4 linked regions of the Arabidopsis thaliana genome follow. The protein of the gene in region 4 interacts with the protein of the main gene of each other region in a pairwise test. Each region holds a gene or a part of one and is shown on either strand. Other genes may lie near its edges. The genes, in order: SE, SWI3B, TCP5 and BRM.

Evidence for each region.
Region 1: the proteins of BRM (region 4) and SE interact in binary tests that used the Arabidopsis thaliana proteins (3 or more experiments, as listed by UniProt).
Region 2: the proteins of BRM (region 4) and SWI3B interact in a two-hybrid assay, tested with the Arabidopsis thaliana proteins (one study listed by BioGRID).
Region 3: the proteins of BRM (region 4) and TCP5 interact in a two-hybrid assay, tested with the Arabidopsis thaliana proteins (one study listed by BioGRID).

Annotation. Positions count from the first base shown.
Region 1 is NC_003071.7:11,570,359-11,577,593, forward strand, and holds SE (C2H2 zinc-finger protein SERRATE (SE)), read left to right. Parts: upstream 1-2,038; 5' UTR 2,039-2,228; coding exon 2,229-2,644; intron 2,645-2,855; coding exon 2,856-2,956; intron 2,957-3,203; coding exon 3,204-3,261; intron 3,262-3,599; coding exon 3,600-3,674; intron 3,675-3,758; coding exon 3,759-3,833; intron 3,834-3,927; coding exon 3,928-3,975; intron 3,976-4,125; coding exon 4,126-4,194; intron 4,195-4,283; coding exon 4,284-5,075; intron 5,076-5,155; coding exon 5,156-5,204; intron 5,205-5,319; coding exon 5,320-5,579; intron 5,580-5,687; coding exon 5,688-5,846; intron 5,847-5,938; coding exon 5,939-5,999; 3' UTR 6,000-6,300; downstream 6,301-7,235. Other genes in the region: FRS3 (FAR1-related sequence 3), read right to left, coding at 6,611-6,655, 6,847-6,963. UniProt on the Arabidopsis thaliana protein: Acts as a mediator between the cap-binding complex (CBC) and both the pre-mRNA splicing and primary microRNAs (miRNAs) processing machinery.
Region 2 is NC_003071.7:14,227,193-14,232,563, forward strand, and holds SWI3B (switch subunit 3), read left to right. Parts: upstream 1-1,779; 5' UTR 1,780-1,830; coding exon 1,831-1,993; intron 1,994-2,087; coding exon 2,088-2,497; intron 2,498-2,583; coding exon 2,584-2,994; intron 2,995-3,348; coding exon 3,349-3,475; intron 3,476-3,563; coding exon 3,564-3,694; intron 3,695-3,789; coding exon 3,790-3,957; 3' UTR 3,958-4,216; downstream 4,217-5,371. Other genes in the region: CRL2 (NAD(P)-binding Rossmann-fold superfamily protein), read left to right, coding at 45-214, 288-473, 548-713, 809-998, 1,174-1,306. UniProt on the Arabidopsis thaliana protein: Component of a multiprotein complex equivalent of the SWI/SNF complex, an ATP-dependent chromatin-remodeling complex, which is required for the positive and negative regulation of gene expression of a large number of genes.
Region 3 is NC_003076.8:24,534,357-24,539,258, forward strand, and holds TCP5 (TEOSINTE BRANCHED 1, cycloidea and PCF transcription factor 5), read right to left. Parts: upstream 2,889-4,902; 5' UTR 2,582-2,888; intron 2,352-2,581; 5' UTR 2,297-2,351; coding exon 1,214-2,296; 3' UTR 981-1,213; downstream 1-980.
Region 4 is NC_003071.7:18,920,744-18,925,974, forward strand, and holds the start of BRM (transcription regulatory protein SNF2), read left to right. Parts: upstream 1-1,789; 5' UTR 1,790-2,457; intron 2,458-2,533; 5' UTR 2,534-2,560; coding exon 2,561-2,734; intron 2,735-3,031; coding exon 3,032-4,306; intron 4,307-4,429; coding exon 4,430-5,231. Other genes in the region: AT2G45990 (ribosomal RNA small subunit methyltransferase G), read left to right, coding at 45-121, 200-300; AT2G46000 (LDL receptor wingless signaling/trafficking chaperone), read right to left, coding at 451-630, 718-846, 987-1,304. UniProt on the Arabidopsis thaliana protein: ATPase subunit of a multiprotein complex equivalent of the SWI/SNF complex that acts by remodeling the chromatin by catalyzing an ATP-dependent alteration in the structure of nucleosomal DNA.

The sequences.
Region 1 (7,235 bases), 7.4 Mb from region 4:
ATGCAAAAAAAAGAGTAACATGAGTTAGATTTACAACCTGCAGAACTACTAGAATAGCTTCAAATTCAGAAAAAGAAACTTTAATTAGTGGGGAGTGATCATATGTTAATTAGGACTCACTAACTATTCCGACTAGGAAATTTTCTGTTAAGTGGTTTTGGAGATTCTAATAAATAGGAAGCAGGACGATGGATAGATCCATCCTGCGACATAGGCTTGGTTTAGACCGAGGGAACTGTGTTCTGTATTTTGGGGTTCTATTTCAGTTATTGATTTCAGTAAAATAGTGGTTCTGATTATATTCTAGTGATCCTTAACTCTAACAAAAACAAACACAACAATCACAAAACCACTTCAAAAAAAAAAAAAGTATTAAAGCCTCTCAAGACACTGTATTCTAGGGATCAATGCACTGACCCCTGGCAAGACCCGATCAGAAATAACCAAAACATAACTAGAAGAGAGAATTAAGTAATAGCGAGTCATCTGTTCCACTAAGTTATCTAATGCAAAGGTGTGAGTGAGAGTATCATTGTATTCATGTTGAATATGAGAGAAGAACAGTGCCCTTTATTACCAAATTGCATCATGATATATAAAACAAATGAAAATTACGCATTGCAGGATATTTGCTATTTAGCGAGACATGATCATTCTCTCAAATCTCAAACTCAAATCTCATGCCTCCGTATATAGAAAAAAACAAAGAAATCCCAAGCAAACACAACGAAGATACATAAATTAAATCCAAGGCAACAAATACAAATCAAGCTTATGTTGCTCCCAACACAACACAAATCAATCATACATACCAAATAAAAAAAACCCTCAAAGCAACTATCTATCAACAATTAAAGAACAAATTTCCACTTTGAAATCCTAACACAATCTAACCTATTCTCTTAACTTAGTAACCTGTTCCGCCGTTTAAAGTTCCTCAAGCAAAATCCTTATGGAAAGAGTAAAACTTTCACAGAACCATCGGATAGATGACAAACAATCAGAATCACATAAGAAGGCAACTTTTTCGTAATCGGAATCCCAAAATAGGGCGAGAGAGAATATAAGGAGAGCATAACCAAAGTCATACCGCAGACAAAACACAAAACTGATTGAACAAATTAAGAAGTTTTCTTAGAGTAATCGAAAATCAAAACCTGAAAAGTGCACGAATTTGACAAAAAAGAGAGATTTTTATAGAAAGGTAAAGAAACCCAAATGAAATTGGACCATTAGAGTAGAAGAAAACCTAGAAAAGGTGAGATTTTTCACACAAGTAGAAGAAACAACAGTAAGATGGAGAAACGGTGATACCTAAAGAGATGTCCTTTGAGAGCTTTGGAGTTACGCGAGAGGATCAAACCCAAAAGAAAACAAAACGTCTTCTTCTACAGGAGACGAAGAAGAAGGAGAGAGGTGGTCTGTGTCGTGTGTGAGTCAGCAGCGAATCAGATGGGTAGAGAGAAGAGAGAGAGAGAGAAGAGGAATCTTATGCGAGAGGAGAAAAAGGAGATTGTGTGTGTATGTGTGTGACTACCAACATGCAATAAAGCATTTGCTTGCTTGTAAAGACGATTTTGACGGATGACTCCAAAAACGGTAACTTTCTCTTGCCGTTGTTATTTCTACTCCGGTTACTTTTCTTACACCTTTTTTTTGTTTGTCTTTTTATTTTTTTAAGGATTCATTAGTTTATGATAAACATCCTTAATCTATGGTCTTAGTCAATTGCTTTACAAAACAATTTTGTTACATGTCAACTCACATTTTAGTATTTTACTAATAATCAAATCCATAGACAGATTATGAAAAAATAATCCATAGTGATCCCATAAAAAATAGAAACTAATCTTATCAAATTGACAGAGATACTAAGACTTATTATTGGCTTAATTTACAGAATTGTTTGAAGAATTTTTCTGGAAATGATGGGAAAGAATCTGACTGAAATATTAAAATAGTTTTGCTTCGATGAAATGGAGGAATAGTCAAAGGTGTGGACAAATAATTAACATAGAAATCCAAATACTGTATTTTCATAAAGACGAAGATGGGCCTCTGAGAGTAAGGCCTATTTATGAAGACGAAGATGGGTCTCTGAGAGTAAGGCCCTATTGGAAATAAAGCTCACTGTAACAGTAACAGCAGCAAAACCCGTAAAGGTAGAGGGAGAGACACAGAGGCTTCGAGTGAAATCGTACATTCTCCGATTTAGGGTTCCGAACGAAATGGCCGATGTTAATCTTCCTCCGTCTGATTCCGTCGATAACCGTCTCCCTGAGAAATCAACCTCTTCCTCACCACCTCCTCCACCGCCTTCTTCTTCTCTGCCGCAGCAGGAACAGGAACAAGACCAGCAGCAGCTTCCGCTACGCCGTGAGAGAGATTCACGAGAGCGTCGTGACGAGAGAGACATCGAACGTCCTCCGCCTAATCGCCGTGAACGTGACCGTTCGCCTCTCCCACCGCCTCGTAGGGATTACAAGAGACGTCCTAGCTTGAGTCCTCCGCCACCGTATAGAGATAGGCGACACTCTCCTCCTCAGCGTCGCTCGCCTCCTCAAAAGCGTTATCGGAGGGATGATAATGGCTATGATGGTCGCCGTGGTAGTCCTCGTGGTGGCTATGGACCACCCGATAGAAGGTAATCTTCATTTCTTATGCTTACACTTCAATTGGAATTACATCAGAGTTAATTTGTTACCGATTGAATTATAATTCAAAGTCATATGGGAACTGTGTTTGCATTGTTGCTTAGCTGATAACTGTTGATTATCCTCTTGTATCGATGGTTGTTATATTCCATCGTTTTCGAGATTTCCTAATCTGTACTCAATTTTTACTTTGCATGTTAGATTTGGGTATGACCATGGTGGAGGATATGACCGTGAAATGGGTGGGAGGCCTGGTTATGGTGATGAAAGGCCTCATGGTCGCTTTATGGGTCGCTATCAGGGTGAGACATCTCTGTCTAAGATGTTTTTACAGTTGAGAGAATCAGTATTACCACTTTTTCGTATGATTTCTGTCTTGTGAGACATGTTTAAGATACCTATCATTGGGCGTTCTTATTATTTGTGGACTTCTGTTCATTTGACTAGCTTCGTATATTTCTCTCTGTATGCTGTGGATTGGAAACAAGCGATTTACATTAGAAGATAAGATGTCAATATCTACCTTTTATTGTGTGTTACTTATGGCAGACTGGGAGGGAGGACGTGGAGGTTATGGTGATGCTTCCAACAGTGGAAATCCTCAAAGGTTAAGGTTCCTTCTTCTTTTGTTTTTTAAAATTTTCTTTGTATTTCATGGGTTTGTTGTCTTTTTCCTATGGCGTGTTTATTCTTGGTAGCGTATTTTTAATCAAGTTAGTGTAAACTAAGAGTTGCGAACTGTCTAATGGTGCTCAATGAATGGAGGATACATCCCTTGTAGAATGTTCTTTCTTCGATGAGACATATATGTTTTTTTCCTTATAGCTCCGGAAAGTTAGAGTGAATGTTTGAGAGACACCATTATAGTGGCACACAACTGATGCTGTCTGTATCCTCCCTTGCTGTTGCATTTAACGATACTACCTTTGTAATTCCTTTACCCAGGGATGGATTGATGTCATACAAACAATTTATCCAGGAGTTGGAAGATGATATATTGCCATCTGAAGCTGAACGCAGGTATGATCATTTCTGCTACTTAGTCTTGTTACTTAAGCAATTTAATAATAAAGCTGCGGGTGTAATGCTTTTTTCCTGATGCAGATATCAAGAATACAAGTCAGAGTATATCACAACACAAAAACGTGCCTTTTTTAACACCCACAAAGAGGAAGACTGGTGATTTCACTATCTTTTTTCATCTTTTATATTCTTCTGGGATATTCTGCAAGCTAGCCTAATAACATGTGTATCTATGTTGCGCATCTACCAGGTTGAAAAATAAGTATCATCCAACAAACTTACTATCTGTCATAGAAAGGTGAGTTCAAGAGTCATTTGAAGCAATTTGATTCGGTGTTAGTGCCTGAATAGTGTAATATTAATACTATACATCCTTGATTTTATTATTTTAATTTTCTTTTCATTAAAGAAACTGTTCAACTATAGATATTCCTTTGAAATTTTTCAGGAGGAATGACCTTGCACAGAAGGTGGCAAAGGATTTCTTACTTGATTTACAAAGCGGGACACTAGATTTGTAAGATCATTTCTTTGGCCTTTATTCCACATGTGTGACTGATCACAATTCTGTCATCTCTAACGCTCTCAGTTTCCCTTCTGTTCCAGAGGCCCTGCAGTGACAGCATTGAATAAATCCGGCCGGACCAGTGAGCCTAATTCTGAGGATGAAGCCGCTGGTGTTGGTAAAAGAAAAAGGCATGGTATGGGTGGAGCTAAAGAGAATGAACTTCTTTCAGCCGCACCGAAAGCACCCAGTTTCACCTCTGATCCAAAGAGAATCCTGACTGACGTTGAACAAACACAAGCCCTTGTGCGTAAGCTAGACTCTGAGAAAAAAATTGAGGAAAATGTTTTACAAGGTTCAGAAACTGAAAAATCAGGTAGAGAAAAGTTACACAGTGGTTCTACTGGTCCAGTTGTAATCATAAGGGGGTTGACATCTGTGAAAGGCCTTGAGGGTGTTGAATTACTTGACACGCTTGTTACATATCTATGGCGTGTTCATGGTCTGGACTATTACGGAAAGGTTGAAACAAATGAAGCTAAGGGTTTGCGGCATGTGAGAGCTGAAGGAAAAGTTTCTGATGCAAAAGGAGATGAGAATGAAAGTAAATTCGACTCTCATTGGCAAGAGAGGTTGAAAGGTCAAGATCCCTTGGAAGTGATGGCTGCCAAAGAGAAGATAGATGCTGCCGCTACTGAAGCTTTAGATCCACATGTCCGAAAGATTAGAGATGAGAAGTATGGTTGGAAATATGGTTGTGGAGCCAAGGGCTGCACGAAGCTGTTTCATGCTGCTGAATTTGTGTACAAGCATCTCAAGCTGAAACACACTGAGCTTGTCACAGAGCTGACTACCAAAGTTCGGGAAGAACTGTATTTTCAGAACTATATGAAGTATGTAGGCTTTTTCTCTTGGATTCCTCTACTGTCGTTTCTGACAGGTTCGTAATGAAATTTTTTTGTGCTATTTGCAGTGATCCTAATGCTCCAGGAGGACAACCAGCCACGCAGCAATCTGGCCCGGTACATGATCTTCTTTTGAGATTTAATGGAGTGTTGACTAGTCTGTACTTTTGGGTTATCACTTGTTTAGCTTGGTTTGAGTTTTATTTACGTGGGTTAATTATACTTTCAACAGAGAGATAGACCTATAAGACGTAAACCCAGCATGGAGAACAGACTGAGGGATGATAGAGGTGGACGCAGAGAGCGTGATGGACGTGCTAATGGAAATGACAGAAATGATCGGTCAGAAGATCAACAGAGAGGGGATAATGATGGTGGAAATCCTGGGGAAGTTGGGTATGATGCATTTGGTGGACAAGGTGGTGTTCATGTTCCTCCCTTCTTATCGGATATAAACCCACCACCAATGCTGATGCCTGTTCCTGGTGCTGGGTAGGTTTAATAAAGATTACTCACTCCCTTCATGATCTTGTTTTCAGAATAAATTAGTTACTGTGTTGAATCAATGATCTTAATGTGTCTGAATGATGATGTGGTCAGGCCACTGGGACCATTTGTACCAGCACCACCTGAAGTTGCTATGCAGATGTTCAGGGACCCAAGTGGACCCAACCCTCCTTTTGAAGGTAGCGGGAGAGGTGGACCTGCCCCTTTTCTGTTGTCTCCGGCCTTTAGACAAGATCCTAGACGGCTGCGCAGGTAACGTAGTTCACTCTGTGCTATGAGTCCATTACCCTATGATCAAGAGTGCAGTGTCTCTAAGGTACTAATGTATGAGAAATTTGGTGCAGCTACCAAGACCTAGATGCTCCAGAGGAAGAAGTGACCGTTATTGATTACAGGAGCTTGTAGACAAGACAGGGCTAGAGAGATCCCGAGTTTACTGGTTCGGGTTGGGTTAAAGGGCATCAGTATTAGAAGGCAAAGCTAGCAGATTGTGGCATTTTCTTACCCTTTTGATGTATTATGTCTTGTTCCTCCCAATTTTCACTCACTAAAGCGTAAAATACGCACTCCATACATTTCCTTATTGTTTTTCAAAATTTTTCATGTGCTTTCTTACTAATTCTGTTCGACGATGATTACATAAATAGCATGAGAATTTCTTGTATTGAATAATGCGTTTTATCCACATTGTTTGTTATCAATACTTAAGTCTCCATGGCAGTCTTAAATCTCCATGGCCATTAAATATAATCTGCAGTCAAACGAATGACTATCCACAAGAATCCAGGTTTTTAGGGTTCAATGTAAATAAGAAGGATATATACACTTCAAAGCCTGGCTCAATGCCTACCAGATTCTACACACTTGCGTAGATGACGTGACACTTACACATGTTACAATTACACATAAGGCATTGTATCGTAAATCTAACAACACTAATCACAGACGAGCTCTAATGAGGTTAACAACCATTTTCCAAAGTTTTCTTTTCCAGAGGTTGTTTCTCTCTCTCAACATCATTTGCGTTGCTTCTTTGCTTGAGATTCTGTTTGTAGCTCTCCCTGCAAATGCAAGATACCGTTTAGATACTCTATAAGACAATACATAGACCAAGTAATAGTTCAGGAACAATTATAGGTCGATATGAACCTAATTGATTGCTGTTACTATTACTAATTCAACTATCATTGGCCTTGTAATTATTTAATAACTACTACTTGGAAAAAGAAAAAGAAAAAGGGAGTGTGCCTACAACGATTGAGAGCTGCTCACGGATATAGGCCATTGATCTCAACATGGCACCTAGTGTATCTCGGGACACCTGAAACTTGACCTCTGATTCTCCTGTTGTTGTCTCGGTATCTTGAAGCTGGAGTAAGGAAAACAAAAGAAGATTTTTTCACACTGTTGAAACCTTCTAGTTCAATTAAGAGTCCCTAATATGGAGTAAAACATTGATTTTGGTAATCAAACATGAAATTTCATATTCAAGTAGTGACGCTAGTATAAATAACTGCAAAACGTATGGCAAGTTAACATGAATGAGAGAATCAGCTTAAACAAGTCAAACAACACAGAAGTTTCACACACTAACGGTAGATGGAATCTATGTTAGAACAAACCAAAGACAATCAATAAATT
Region 2 (5,371 bases), 4.7 Mb from region 4:
TGTCTATTGTTCTGATGAAGAGTTTCGCATGGTTCTTGTTATAGGTAATGAAAAGTATGCTCATTTGAAGAAGCTTGATAAAGCTGGTGACAAACTCAAGCTCTTCAAGGCTGATTTGCTCAACTACGGCTCTCTTCAATCTGCTATTGCTGGCTGCAGCGGCGTCTTCCATGTCGCTTGCCCTGTTCCATCTGCTTCAGTCCCTAATCCTGAGGTGAGGATTTCATTTTTACAATCTCATTGGTGGCTATATGCATTGTCTCACTATGGTTTCACTGGTTTTGCAGGTAGATTTGATCGCACCTGCAGTGGATGGTACGCTGAATGTGCTTAAGGCATGCGTTGAAGCAAAAGTTAAGCGTGTTGTGTATGTTTCCTCTGTATCTGCAGTTGCTATGAACCCTATGTGGTCAAAGAGTCAAGTGTTAGATGAGACCGCTTGGTCTGACCAAGATTATTGCAAAAAAACTGAGGTTAATAATGCATCTTGAATCCCTCATCTCACTTTTTTTTCTTCTTTTAAATCTGACTTTCGTCCCTCTGGCAGAATTGGTATTCTTTGTCAAAGACACGAGCAGAAAGTGAAGCTTTCGAATTTGCAAAACGAACCGGACTTGATCTCGTCAGTGTTTGCCCTACCCTTGTCTTGGGACCTGTATTGCAGCAGCACACAGTAAATGCTAGTAGCCTTGTTCTTCTCAAGCTTCTTAAAGGTATTATAAACAAGCCTCTCATTTCATCTGGGATTGTTAGAAGCAGCAACTTGGTATATGAGTTGGTATTGATTTTATACTTAAGTGTGGTGCAGAGGGTTATGAATCGCGTAATAACCAAGAACGGCATTTGGTAGATGTGCGTGATGTGGCTCAAGCTTTACTTTTGGTTTATGAGAAAGCAGAAGCTGAAGGAAGGTACATCTGCATAGGCCACACGGTTAGGGAACAAGAAGTCGCTGAGAAGCTGAAAAGTCTTTATCTAAATTACAACTACCCAAAGAGGTAAGCAAACAACAGCTGCACATCTCTCTACCCAATTTGAGTGAAAACCTTTAAACCTTAATAAGCTGTTTTTGTTACTTTCATCAGTAAACAGTGTCACTTACCTTTACATCAATGTCTCTGAAGTTTCTTTTAGACCTTACCTTTGATCTAAATTCTACTTATCCAATATCAGATACATCGAAGCGGATGGAAAAGTGAAGGTGAGTTCAGAGAAGTTGCAGAAGTTGGGTTGGACTTACCGGCCGTTGGAGGAAACACTTGTGGATTCTGTTGAGAGCTACCGCAAAGCTAAGCTTGTGGACTGAAAACTGGGAACGAATAGCATATGAGTGTTTTGGGTCCATGTGTTAAGTGTTCCTATCTGCACACGCTCTTTCATCTTTTACTCAAGAATAAGAGTTGTGCAACATATTTTCCATCATGAACTTCTGAGTTTTTGTTACTTTCTTAGACACCATTACTTTTATGACCAATCTACAATTACTCCTTCCATAACTATGTTCCAATATCTCTTTGATACGTTCCAATTTCTACCTACTTACAAAGGATAACTTCACCATTAATACATGAAATCAGTAACGCACAACTTCACCATTCGAATTAACCTCTAAGCCTAGCGTAGCAGATGCACTACATCTTGGCTGACCATGGGACTAAAAAAACATTCGCAATATTTAACAACTAAAGCCAGGTTAATGGACCTGTATTAGGGCCCAAACCAGGCCCGTTTAGATATCCGACTTTTTTTTTAACTTTGCCCATCTCGATAGCTAGATTCTCTTTTCCCTCTTCCTTCTCCGGCGAAGTTGCGTTAGTTAAACAGAGAGTCATGGCCATGAAAGCTCCCGATCCCGGCGGATCTGGGGAAATTCTCCCGAGCACTCCCTCTCTTTCCGAAACTACGTCTGGAGGCGCCGCAGCAGCTTCTAAGTCGGCTCAATTGCCGTCTTCTTCTTCCGATATCGATAATATTCACGTACCTAGCTACTCCAGTAAGTCTGCAACGCCGAGAAAACTTTGATTTATTCTACTTTCTTCACTGTTTCTTACGGATTTTGTACTTGTACCGTCTATTTAACCAATTAGGTTGGTTTTCATGGACCGACATTAACGATTGCGAGGTCCGGTCACTGCCGGAATTTTTCGATTCGAGATCTTCATCCAAAAACCCTAAGTTTTATCTCTACTTGAGGAACTCGATTATTAAGCAGTACAGAGACGACCATCCTCGGAAGATTAGTTTCACTGACGTTCGGAGAACTCTCGTCAGTGATGTTGTCTCTATTCGTCGCGTCTTTGATTTCCTCGATTCATGGGGACTTATCAACTATAATAGCTCCGCCTCTGCTAAGCCGCTCAAGTGGGAAGAAAAAGAGGCCGGAAAATCCGCCGGAGATGCTGCTTCTGAGCCAGCCACAACTGTCAAAGAAACTGCCAAGAGAAACTGCAATGGCTGCAAAGCAATTTGCAGCATAGCTTGTTTCGCCTGTGATAAGGTTTGATTTCATAATTTGTAGCCATAGTAATAATTTCATTCACTGAGTTTGTCACTTAGAATGATTATGTACATTTTTGTTTTCAGTATGACTTGACATTGTGTGCGAGGTGCTATGTTCGTAGTAATTATCGTGTTGGTATTAACTCCTCGGAGTTTAAACGAGTTGAGATTAGTGAGGAGTCAAAGCCAGAGTGGTCTGATAAGGAAATTCTGCTGCTGCTGGAAGCTGTTATGCACTATGGAGATGATTGGAAGAAGGTTGCATCGCATGTTATTGGTAGAACGGAGAAGGATTGTGTTTCTCAGTTTGTCAAGCTTCCGTTTGGGGAACAGTTTGTAAAAGAGTCTGACTCTGAGGATGGTTTAGAGATGTTTGATCAGATCAAGGACTCTGATATTCCTGAATCTGAAGGAATAGATAAAGACGGTTCTTCTCCCAACAAGCGGATCAAATTAACACCTCTTGCAGATGCAAGCAACCCAATAATGGCTCAGGTTAGAAAGACACTACAATTTGAGTAGTTGCGTTCTCTCTCTATGTTAATCTTATTTGTATAAGTCTTCAACATGCGTGGAAATGCTTTTACATTGTTAGGCTACTGAAGAATAGTCCAGTGTCTGCACTAGGCTGTTCCACGACTTGCGTTTTTGTCTCCTTAAAGAACCTAAATCTAGAATACCTTGTGGGGCTTACTTTGAAATCTAGTAATAACAAACCCTAGTTGACATATATAAGGCATTTAAGAATCAAATATGTGTTAGATAATTCTGTACTGTGTTATCACACCTCAATTGTTATGCTTCATTGGCTGTCTCTGAATAAGATTTATCCTATCATGTCCTCTTCAGGCTGCTTTTCTTTCAGCTTTGGCTGGCACAAATGTTGCAGAAGCAGCAGCTCGAGCGGCAGTGAGAGCTTTATCTGATGTAGACTACGAGGCTGACAAAAACGCCAGTAGAGACCCAAATCGACAAGGTATCAAAGACCAAGCTGTCTCTATTTGCAGTCCATTTCTGTCCTAAGCCAAACCCAATAGTGACAGTTTTGTTTTCCTGATACACAGATGCCAATGCTGCATCGAGTGGTGAAACCACTAGAAACGAATCTGAAAGAGCTTGGGCAGATGCAAAGTCTTTAATTGAGAAGGAAGAGCATGAGGTAGAAGGAGCAATCAAAGAGACTGTTGAAGTTGAGGTTAGTAACAATCTGCAACTTTCCATAGACTTTTTATTATATGGTTATACTCAATGATGATTTATGTTGGAACAAACAAAATTTGGGATTAACAGATGAAGAAGATCCGAGATAGGATTGTTCATTTCGAGAAATTGGATTTGGAAATGGAGAGAAGCCGGAAACAATTGGAGGAGGTGAGGAATCTGCTTTTCGTTGATCAATTAAACATTTTCTTCCACACCAGAAAAGCCCGGAAAACTGAAGATAGAATAGAGTGTTAGAACGCACTTAATTTGAAACTGTTATTTCTTATTTGATTCTTGTCTGGTTAAGAAGATGACTTGTATTGTAGTGTACTTGAGATGTGTTGGTAACAAAATGAGATGAGATCGAATTGGTATAAATAAGGCTGGGTTGGTATAAAAGTCAAAACCAAATGGCAACTGCGTCGAAGTATAATTTTTGTCTTTATCAGGCAATCACAAGTGGAAAAGTTTTAAAAATTAATTTTGCTCTTTTGGAAACAATAGAAAATGTCAGGGTTTTGGAGATATCCGATATAAAAGATAGATTTTGTTTTCACTAAATAGGTTAATCTTCAAATGTTGTTAAGTTACCGATGTTTTTTTTGTATCTCCGTAACATGATTACTCTCTTTGTTGCTAAAAGAGTGATGGTTTTTATATTAAGAAACAGTCATTAATTAATCATTTCTGTATTGTTTGTTATATTAAACATTTTCAATAACTATAAACCAATAGCAGTCTAACAAATTTCAATCATTTTATCTTGAACTTTACTAGTTCAGGTTTTTCAGACAAACTAAAAAAACATTGAATTTTCTGTTTTATCTCTAATTAATGTGTTATTTAATATCATATCATCAATTAATCAGCCAAAACAATAAGAATTTCTTTTGGAAAATCTTTCAAAAACATGCATTGAAAATATAAAACGATAACTAATTTAATACAAAATTTAATTTCTAAAACATAACTAATTTAGAAAGGAGTGAGTGATATTTAAAAAAAATAAAGAAAAAACGAAAATGTTTTTTTTGTGGGACAAGTTAAAAGTGGTAGAACATCAATTTATTAGAAACAAAGAGAGTGTATTTTTCTTTCTTCCCCATCGGGAAACCAAACCCAATTTATTTATATATTAAACTCGTACAATATAAAATCTTTTATATTTAACTAAAAATTCAGTAAATATCCATTCTTCGTAAATATTTAAACTCTATTTTTTCTTTTTAAAAAGATCAATTTACATCTTAAATTCAAAATATAAACCATAATATATTATGTACATATTAATACTGCATTCTAAACAATTTCCCAATATAAAAAATAAAAATATATAGAGGTAAATAACTTATCATAACTACTTTATTGATGGCCTTTATAATTAGTTTCTGCTTTGGTAGAATTTTTTAGTTCAGCCTTTATCTCGTTATCTGCATGTCTCTAATTGAGCTTTGTTGCTAAGTTTTAGCTTTTTTTTTTCTTATGCGATCACTTTGCTGGTTGTTGTGTTGGTTGGTTCGGTTCCTTGTACCTTTGATGTATCCTCTATTTCTCTTTTTATCTAGGTTAAGCTTTTTTATTAATGAAATATTAAGTTTGATTGGAAAAAAGAGGCACATTAATAGAAAGTTAGCTTTGTTGTTTAGGTTTTATTTAATATATGTACGTG
Region 3 (4,902 bases), on a different chromosome or scaffold from region 4:
TATGTATACATAGGTTATATATGCATGATTGTGGGAGTGACTCATATATACACACGAGTCTAGGGTTTTGGCATGCATTACATAATACATATTGCCGTGCTTCTAGGCATTGTGAACAGTAACCTATCTATACTTCTAAGTTCGTATCTCTATATATAAAGAATATATAATATATATGCATGGATATATATTTATGTTCTTATGAATACATTTCATAATTAATATGCCCGTACAAATATACGTAGTTATAAGAAAATGAATGATTGTGGACATAAAATTATTTGAAACTTATTGGTGTTTTTCTGACACATGACAAGCAACGACCCCTTCGATTTCTTTCATTTGCATTGTGAACAAACATGACTTTTCTATATACATTATTACATTGGCGGTAAAAATTTGTACTTTTGTAGTTAATTATAGATATATATATCAAAATTAATTTGTAGATACGATTATATCCAATTCAAGTCCTGACTATGTAATCATTGCATAATGATGATTAAGATAGATCATATCATATTTTGATTAAAAAAATTACATAATGTTTTTTCTTAGCAACATTGTGATGCCTATATATATATATATAATGGTGATTGGTGAAATGCTTTGAATCTGGTCATACGATGGTAGAATAGCATATGGGTTTCGATGGACCTATTTGGTTTAAAGTTGAATTAGGGTTATGTTAATACTCTTTTTTTCTTTTTCTTTTTCTGAATCTGTTTTTCCTCCATCCTATTTTGAAAAGTATTATTGTTCTTTGCGTTTTTATTCACTTTCTCACATTCGTGATAACAATAAAAAATTCCATATATGTAAAACCTAAATCCTAACATATGAAATATGATTAACTAATCTAGATTATGGATTAGGATGAAAGTGCTAGCTAGTTATGAGATACCTATATTGTACAATTCATTTATTCGAGTGTATATATTCATAAATGAATAGAGAAAGACATTCAAGTAGAATTCATATAATTTCTTAAGGAAGCAAAAACTACCTTCAAAACTAAAACATATATAGAAATAACAACCATCCTCGCATTATGAATGTCTTTGTTCGAATCTAAATCCGAGACTATTAAAAAGTGTATACATACACGAAGAAGATACATAAACCAATCCAACAATACGCATATATATCAAAATATAGAAGAATACGTATACATATAACATTTTCAATGTATAGTGTAGATATATAAAATCATTCAAGAATCTGATTCATTATCGCTACTATGATGATCCGTATCATGATTCGAGCTCATCAAATGATGAAATGGTCTAATCAAACTCGTATTACCCGGCATCATGTGTTGCTGCGATGCGGTATTTGAATTCGAGCTAAAGAGCTGAAGATGACCGGCTCCATCGACGACATGATGATGATGAGAAGCTCCAAGAAACGAAGGGTATGTCGGGAATAGAGAGCTCATTGCCGGAGGAGTAGGACCGAAAAAAAGCTGAGATCCATCTCCGGCAGACGAGGAAGGAGGATGCAAATTGAGATTATTGTTATTATTAGCAGCAACATTAGATATTGCGACAGTAACGTTATTACCAGATTGGTCTAACGATTGTTGAAGATGTCCAAGGTTGTAATAAGCTGAAGTGTTGTTGTACGGATTGGTCAGAGGAAATTGTTGTTGATGATTGGTGTTAAACCCTTGATGATCTTGATTACTATTCTCGTCGTTTTTGATCCATTTTCCTTTATCAAGATCAAAACTTTCTCTTTGGGTCGTAGTTGTATCGGTTAATCTTGCTCTTGTTCTTGAAGAACCACCAAGATCCCAATTTTCCAAGAACCCGAGATTGGTTCCTGGAAACGTTGTTGATGTAGTTGAAGATGGAGATTCTCCAAACCCGGAGTTTCCGAAGATGAGATTTGGATACATCTGGTTAAATCCATGTGGGAATTGTAGAGGAGGTAGCTTGTCTACGTCATCTTTTGCTGCTTCGAGTAACCAATCAATGACTTTGCTTGGCTGACTCAGCCCTAATCGATCTTGAAGGTCGTAGAGTTGAATAGCTGTAGGTACGGACAACCTTATCCTCCGGTCTCGAAGACCACGGACTGTACATACTTTGCTGTGTCTGTCTTTGCCACCGAATGTTCTTGAGACTCGAACGATTCTTGGATTCCTAAAAGCTGAAGTCCATTGCCTTGAAGATGATACCGAACTCGGCTGTTGTTGTTGCAACATGTGGTTTAAGTTTACTTGATGATTTTGATTTTGATCTCTTTCTTGCTTTGCTTGAATCTCCTCTTCATCACATTCTCCTGATCTCATCTCTTTAATTCACTCAACAAGATCTTCAGTACTCAATTTGGTGTAAAGAACAGATCTGAAACAAGAAGGGAATAAATTGACCAATTTAATAGAAAATAAATCAAGAAGACAAGAATTAGTTGTTGTTAGCTTTCAATTGAATGAAATTGTTGATTTTAAATATGTTTTTGGAGCGAGATTCACATGAAAACAAAGCAATAATATCTCTTTCTTGAGTTTGCATCAAAGAAAAGAAAGCTCATAAGAATTTGAAATTCAAACATGTTGAAGGTTATATGTTCTTACGTTGATTGAATACTGGTAAGCTTGAGTCCTATTTCAAGATCCAGCTTGATAGAGAAGTAGAAGAAGGAGGAAGAAGAAGAATAAGAAAGAGATAAGGAGGCAGAGGAATGTGTAGTATTTCTTTTTTTGGAAACTAGAATTACATATGTATATTATAATGATTGGGGAAGTTAAATAATAAATGAATTAGATATATTTTTAAGTATTATATTCCGATCCCTAGGGCTTTTTTTTTTCGGTATGAAAGGAATTTATGCAGAAGGACAAAAGAGGAGCAATTTATGTAGTGTATTGATACTGTGATGGGAATGTGCATGTTTCGTTACACTCACAGTCACATAAATCTTATATATATAAAACTTTACAATAGTTGACAAAAAAAAAACCTTTACAATAAATTTTAATATATTTTAGTATTCAAGTTTTGGTTCCCTTTCCTTGGTGTTAGACATTCATTTTGAATTTTATATGATTTAATTTTTACCCAAGTTTGTGATCTATGTTGTCTTCTTATCTTAAACAAAAATATAAACATACGGTTAAGGTCATTTAAGAGAAAGTGTACGGTTGACAAATTAATAGTTATAAATGGTAACAAGAGCTTTTAAAGTGAAAAAAAAATATAGTACATGTATAGTAAATTAATAATGGTAAAAGTGGTTTGAACTTTGAACTGTGAAACATATATATATACAAGATCGAGTTTGAAAGTTTTATGAAACCAAATTTTAGTAAATTCAAAAAAATTCATAATATAAACAAATGGAAAGACCAATTTATTTACAGTCGTCGCTCATTTCATTTGAGTTTCTGTCGTTTTGGAAAATGAAAAGTTTTATTTGTAGATAAATTGTTGAATTTCATTATTAACGAAGCAACTTGTTGAAACCCTAAATTTAGTGATAATGAAATGTAGACTTGTTAAAATCAAACTGTTGGGAATACTGCTTTTATTTCTAATTAACTACTTGTGGGTTATATTTTTAAGCATATATAGAAAATATCCATATATATAAATTTTTTGTTTTAATATCAACATATATAAGTAAATATAATAGAGATTGACAGCTAGAGGAGGTAAGGGTCTGTCTCTGAGATAGAGAATGGACCAACGAGTATAGGTTTTTCTTTAAAGCATCTAATGCCTAAATACTCACAAAGAGATTTGTGGTCCACTTCTCTTCTAAGTGTCTTTGCCACTGAGATTTTTGCCCACAATCACAAACCATTTTCTTTCCTCTTTGTATCCAACTTGATCACTACTATATATAAAGTCTTCTGTAATTGACCGCGCCTTTAACCCACACTGGTTGTTTACGAAGAATATTGAGTTACTGCATATATAGTACTGTACGGTTTCAAATTAAGAACTCTGGTTTTGATTATGTAATCTTGAGATGAAATTGACTGTAACAAAGTTACATTTGTAATTTTGCAAGAAAAAGTTTTGTATCAGTTTTTTGGTCCTCACTTAAATATGGGGAAAATATTAAATAAATATGAACCACTTATATATCGTATAATTTTAATGATCATATAAATTGTGGTAACTGTTCATCTCAAATCAAAGGTTCCATGGATTTCTTTTTCCACATCGGTTCCGTAGATTATCCAACACAATTTTAAGGCATTTTAAGATGATCACAACACAATGTCACAGATTATTTTAAGAAGGCGATTGGAAGCCTTCATTAAAGGCATTTCCAAGGATCTTTCCGGATATGGTGGTATATTTTAAACACAAATTATTCTTAGAGCGAGATAGACTTGTACATTTCATTTTTTTGGTACTGTGATAGACATGTACTAACTTTTATATAGATGGTGTCAGTGGTATATTGGTCTAACTAATATATGCTGCAACAATATTAATTATGATGTATGTTCATAAAACTTGTGGTGAAATTTATCACAACAATTTTTTTGTCCCAACAAAGAAGCTTGCCAAACCTACCCGTCGTCTAAAGCAGCCCACTACCAAAGCCGCCTTTAGTCATTGCTTGGTTGGTAACGTCTGTCAAAGCCAAAACCTTAATTTCTTTCAAAATTGATTTAACGTAAATTCAAGCTTAAGGAATAAGCTAGAAACTATTAACAAGATCATATTTTAGGGAATTTTGGGAATGTATGACAGGATTTGGCAACGAATTATGTGAATACAATTAAATTGTTCCTGCCTTTTATATATATACACATAATTTAACTTAATCATCATGTTGACAAAAAAACAACCGAATCATATATAGGGATGGATGATGATGACGACGACGACGACGTGACTTGAGCTTCTTGGCTTAATTTCCTCCGACTTTTGGATCATA
Region 4 (5,231 bases):
GTCACCATTAGTTTACAATCCCTATGCATTTTTAATTTGGCCAGTTTCGTGGAAGACAGACTCGCAACGCTGAAAAATGTCATAAAAGAGCCTGAATTAGACAAATGGAGTTTATACCTAGGTGGTCTCTTCCCTCTCCCATATCATCACTTCTGGTTCCCCTTATTGGTTATTCTGACAAAAACTTATCTCAAAACAGGAACCTGGGGATACAACACTGAGAAAGAGAGAGCTGAAGCAGCAGGCATTCCCAGGATTCAGGTTATTGAGCTCTCCACGTTTAGCAATAAGCTTAAATGAGTGCATATACTCATTGGAAAAGAAACAAAGCTTTCCTCTTTATTGTATTCTACGGCATTCAACGGAAACTAAAAACCAAACATGTTTAGGTAAGATTCAGTAAAAGAGTTGAACTTTCAGTACTACCCATTATAGAAGCTTTTCTGTGACCTATAATTCATCCTTAGTAAGATCATTCTTGTTACCATCACCATCTTCGTGATCTTTCCTTTGCTCAGCTTGAAATTTGTCAAAGACATCTTCAAATGGAGGATCTCCAGGTCTTCTAAACTCTTGCTTCCCTATCTTGACCTCGTAAGCTTCTTCTTGGCTCAGCACGAATTCCCTTAGCTAATTGAAAGATATGATTGTGATGTTAGATTTTGACTAATCCACTAAACAAAGTTTTCAGCATTGTGTGTTTTCTGTGGCTTTTACCTCAGTCACAAGCTTCCCATTTTGCATATTGAACATCACTGTGCTTCGATCTACAGCCATGAATCTTACTCCTATCCCTCCTGTTCTTAAAACTTTTGTCCATTTCATAGCAATATCAATCACCACATCCTGATTGAAACATATAAACAGATCACTATTCAATCCCCTGAAGCAACTGGACCCATATCGAATTCAGAGAATTTTGAACAGTAACTGAAACTATAACTTAAGGACCCCAAATTCACGATTCGATTTGGATTTTAGTTTACCTTGGTACGGGGGACGCCTAACCGGAGCTTGACGAAACCGACGACGGTTCCAAAAGTCCGTTTAGCCATTTCCTCTTGGATCTGATCGAATCCCATATTGGTGAAATCCGGAGGCGGATCAAATTCCGGGGTCGTTGCTTTCTTCCCCCACTCTTTCCATGACTCGTCTTCTTCATTGTCTTCAACGTCGTCTAGGTCATCGGAGATCTCGATCCGTCGCTTCGTTGCTTCGGCGATCCGGACAAATCCGTGAAAATTCATAAAAAGAAGGAGGCCAACAAGTAGAATCAGCGAAGAAGAACGAACGATCTTCTCCATCGTTTAACAAATTTATTCAGGAATCAGAAACAGAGGAAGAGAGACTGCATCGGCAACGGCATTTCTATATCAGTAAAGCTTCTACAAACTCGCACACAAGTCACAAAACCATAATAATGTGACTTTTTACTTGTTTCGGGAAAAAAAACTATTAACGACATAAACTGAACCTGCTGGTTCAAAACTGTTCGCCGTTTTTCTATCTTAAAATAGAACTGCGTGCCAACTATTGACGTAAAGATGGCAAGCATATCAAGGCTGAAAGATGAAAACGACACGAGGTTGCACCGTAAATAAAACAAGGGTAATTGTATGATTCTCTCTAATCTACTACTGCACTACAGAAGGTAAAACTAAAAGTCAAAATTTGTCTAATTTTAAATTCAAATTAATTAATCAAGTAAAACAAACATAAGTCTAATTTGATTTCCAAATTTGTTTTTTTTTTTCTTTTTTTGATTTCCAAATTTGTTTATAGTAGTATCATTTTAGTATTCTTATTACCCAATACGGAAACAAATATTTGAAATAAACATGGAAAAATTAAAAGTCATTCCATTTGGTTAACAAAAGGAACGTTTGGTAAATTCACACGTGTCTCATCGTCATTTGTGCAACTGACTTGTATAAGGAAGGGTACTTGTGGTAATAAAAGCGAAAACCGAGGGGTGGCCTCGTGAAACGCATTTTCCGTGTTCCAACTGTATCGAGGCGTGGGACCTACAATCAAAAATAAAATAAAATTAATGCCCCTTCCAAAAAAAAAAAGAAAGAGAAAAAAAAGAAAAAGGGAAGTAAGAAGCCAGCTAGGGTTTGACTGCGAGAAATTTCTGATCTGCGTGAATTTCTCAAAGAGAGGAATCGATCATCGATTCCGTGGATTTCGTTTCCCTCCCTTTTTATTTTTATTTTTCGAGAAGCCATCTCAAAGGATCTGAGTTTATACCGTTGCATCCCCCGCGACTTTCGTTTTCCGATTTCCCCCAAATTCGATGCAAATCTAAGAAGAGAGAGAAATAGAAAGGTGTGTGCGCTTCAACCGACTCAGTGTCTCTCTCTCTCTCTCTCTCTCTCTCTCTCTGTTGCTATTTGAGGTTTTTTCCTTTGCCTCGGGGGCTCTCGCTGTCCGAATTCTTTTGTAGGGATTTATTGGGTAGGGTTTTTCCACTTTTTTTTTGTCTTCTTCTACTAGCTTCGTTGTGCATTGGGTTTAATTGTTTCCAGTGTAGTGACTGTCAGATTCTTCGACCAATTGCATGCAATCTGGAGGCAGTGGCGGAGGGCCCGCTCGGAATCCGGCCATGGGTCCGGCTGGTCGGACTGCTTCCACGTCATCCGCTGCTTCTCCTTCTTCTTCCTCTTCATCTGTGCAGCAGCAGCAACAGCAACAGCAACAGCAGCAACAGCAACAGCAGCTGGCGTCTAGGCAGGTAAAGGATTCTCAAGTCTCTGTTTGGTTCGTTATGACTTAGGAGGGATAAAATGCTTGTTTGTAGTGGCTAATGTTTGTCTGTTAAACTTGCGGCTATTCAATTTTAGTGGGACTTGACTGTTTATCAATTCTGTGTAAAAGGAAAGTAACCAATATCTTTAAATTGAAGTTGTGTAATGGTAGCCACTTGGAGAACATGTTTTGTTCATTTCCACATATATATATAGTTGCTCTGAATTGTGGATTATTGTTCATTTGATTGTTACTAATTATTATCGTGCTTCTGATATGGCAGCAGCAGCAGCAGCACAGAAACTCAGATACAAACGAAAATATGTTTGCATATCAACCTGGTGGGGTTCAGGGAATGATGGGCGGTGGCAACTTTGCTTCGTCTCCGGGCTCTATGCAAATGCCTCAGCAGTCTAGAAATTTTTTTGAGTCTCCTCAGCAACAACAACAACAACAACAACAGGGTTCTTCTACCCAAGAGGGCCAGCAAAATTTTAATCCAATGCAGCAAGCGTATATTCAGTTTGCTATGCAGGCTCAGCATCAAAAAGCACAGCAGCAAGCTAGGATGGGAATGGTGGGTTCATCAAGTGTGGGAAAGGATCAAGATGCACGAATGGGAATGTTGAATATGCAAGACTTGAATCCGTCTAGTCAGCCCCAGGCCTCATCATCGAAGCCATCGGGCGATCAGTTTGCTCGCGGTGAAAGGCAGACTGAATCAAGTTCTCAGCAAAGGAACGAAACAAAATCTCATCCTCAGCAGCAGGTGGGTACCGGACAACTAATGCCTGGAAATATGATAAGGCCAATGCAAGCACCACAGGCTCAGCAGCTTGTCAATAACATGGGAAACAACCAACTCGCATTTGCACAACAGTGGCAGGCAATGCAGGCATGGGCGCGTGAGCGTAATATCGATCTCTCACATCCTGCCAACGCCAGCCAAATGGCACACATCCTTCAGGCAAGAATGGCTGCTCAACAGAAAGCTGGTGAAGGCAATGTGGCCTCACAGTCACCATCTATTCCAATCTCTAGCCAGCCGGCTTCATCTTCGGTTGTTCCAGGTGAGAATTCACCACATGCCAACTCTGCTAGTGATATCTCTGGGCAGTCAGGATCAGCGAAGGCCAGACATGCATTATCTACTGGCTCATTTGCCTCGACTTCCAGTCCCAGAATGGTCAATCCTGCTATGAATCCCTTCTCCGGCCAAGGGAGAGAGAATCCAATGTATCCTCGACATTTAGTTCAGCCTACAAATGGGATGCCCTCAGGAAATCCCCTGCAGACTTCTGCAAATGAGACTCCTGTTTTGGATCAGAATGCATCTACAAAAAAAAGTTTAGGTCCTGCTGAACATTTGCAAATGCAGCAGCCTAGGCAACTGAATACACCGACTCCAAATTTAGTAGCGCCATCTGATACTGGTCCACTCAGTAACTCGTCCCTTCAGAGTGGACAGGGGACCCAACAAGCACAGCAGCGATCAGGATTTACCAAACAGCAACTCCATGTTCTCAAAGCCCAGATACTGGCATTTAGGCGTTTGAAGGTTTTCAGCTCTGACTTTTTCCTTATGTCTTCATTTTTATTGTATGTTTTGCTGGAGATGTATGCCTATAAATAACGTGTCTGCAAGCCAGGTTGAATGTTTTTAATTGCTTTTTTTTGACAGAAAGGGGAAGGTTCTTTGCCTCCGGAGCTTCTTCAAGCTATTTCTCCACCACCGCTTGAACTACAGACGCAGAGGCAAATATCTCCTGCCATAGGGAAAGTTCAGGATAGATCTTCAGACAAAACTGGAGAAGACCAAGCAAGGTCGCTAGAGTGTGGCAAGGAGTCTCAGGCTGCTGCTTCTTCAAATGGACCAATTTTTTCTAAAGAGGAAGATAATGTTGGAGATACAGAAGTAGCTTTGACGACAGGCCACAGCCAATTATTTCAAAACCTGGGAAAAGAAGCTACTTCTACTGACGTGGCTACGAAAGAGGAGCAACAGACTGATGTATTCCCTGTTAAGTCAGACCAAGGAGCAGATTCTAGTACTCAAAAGAATCCTAGAAGTGATTCTACAGCTGATAAGGGAAAGGCTGTTGCATCTGATGGAAGCCAATCTAAGGTTCCTCCACAAGCAAACTCTCCCCAGCCGCCCAAGGATACAGCCTCTGCCAGGAAATATTATGGACCGTTGTTTGATTTTCCCTTTTTCACTCGAAAACTTGACTCTTATGGGTCTGCAACAGCCAATGCCAATAACAATCTCACATTAGCATATGATATTAAAGATCTGATTTGTGAAGAAGGTGCAGAGTTCCTTAGTAAGAAAAGAACAGACAGTTTGAAGAAGATAAATGGTCTGCTAGCAAAAAATTTAGAAAGGAAAAGGATTAGGCCTGATCTTGTTTTACGGCTTCAAATTGAAGAGAAAAAGCTTAGGCTATCTGATCTTCAGTCTCGTGTTAGAGAGGAAGTAGATC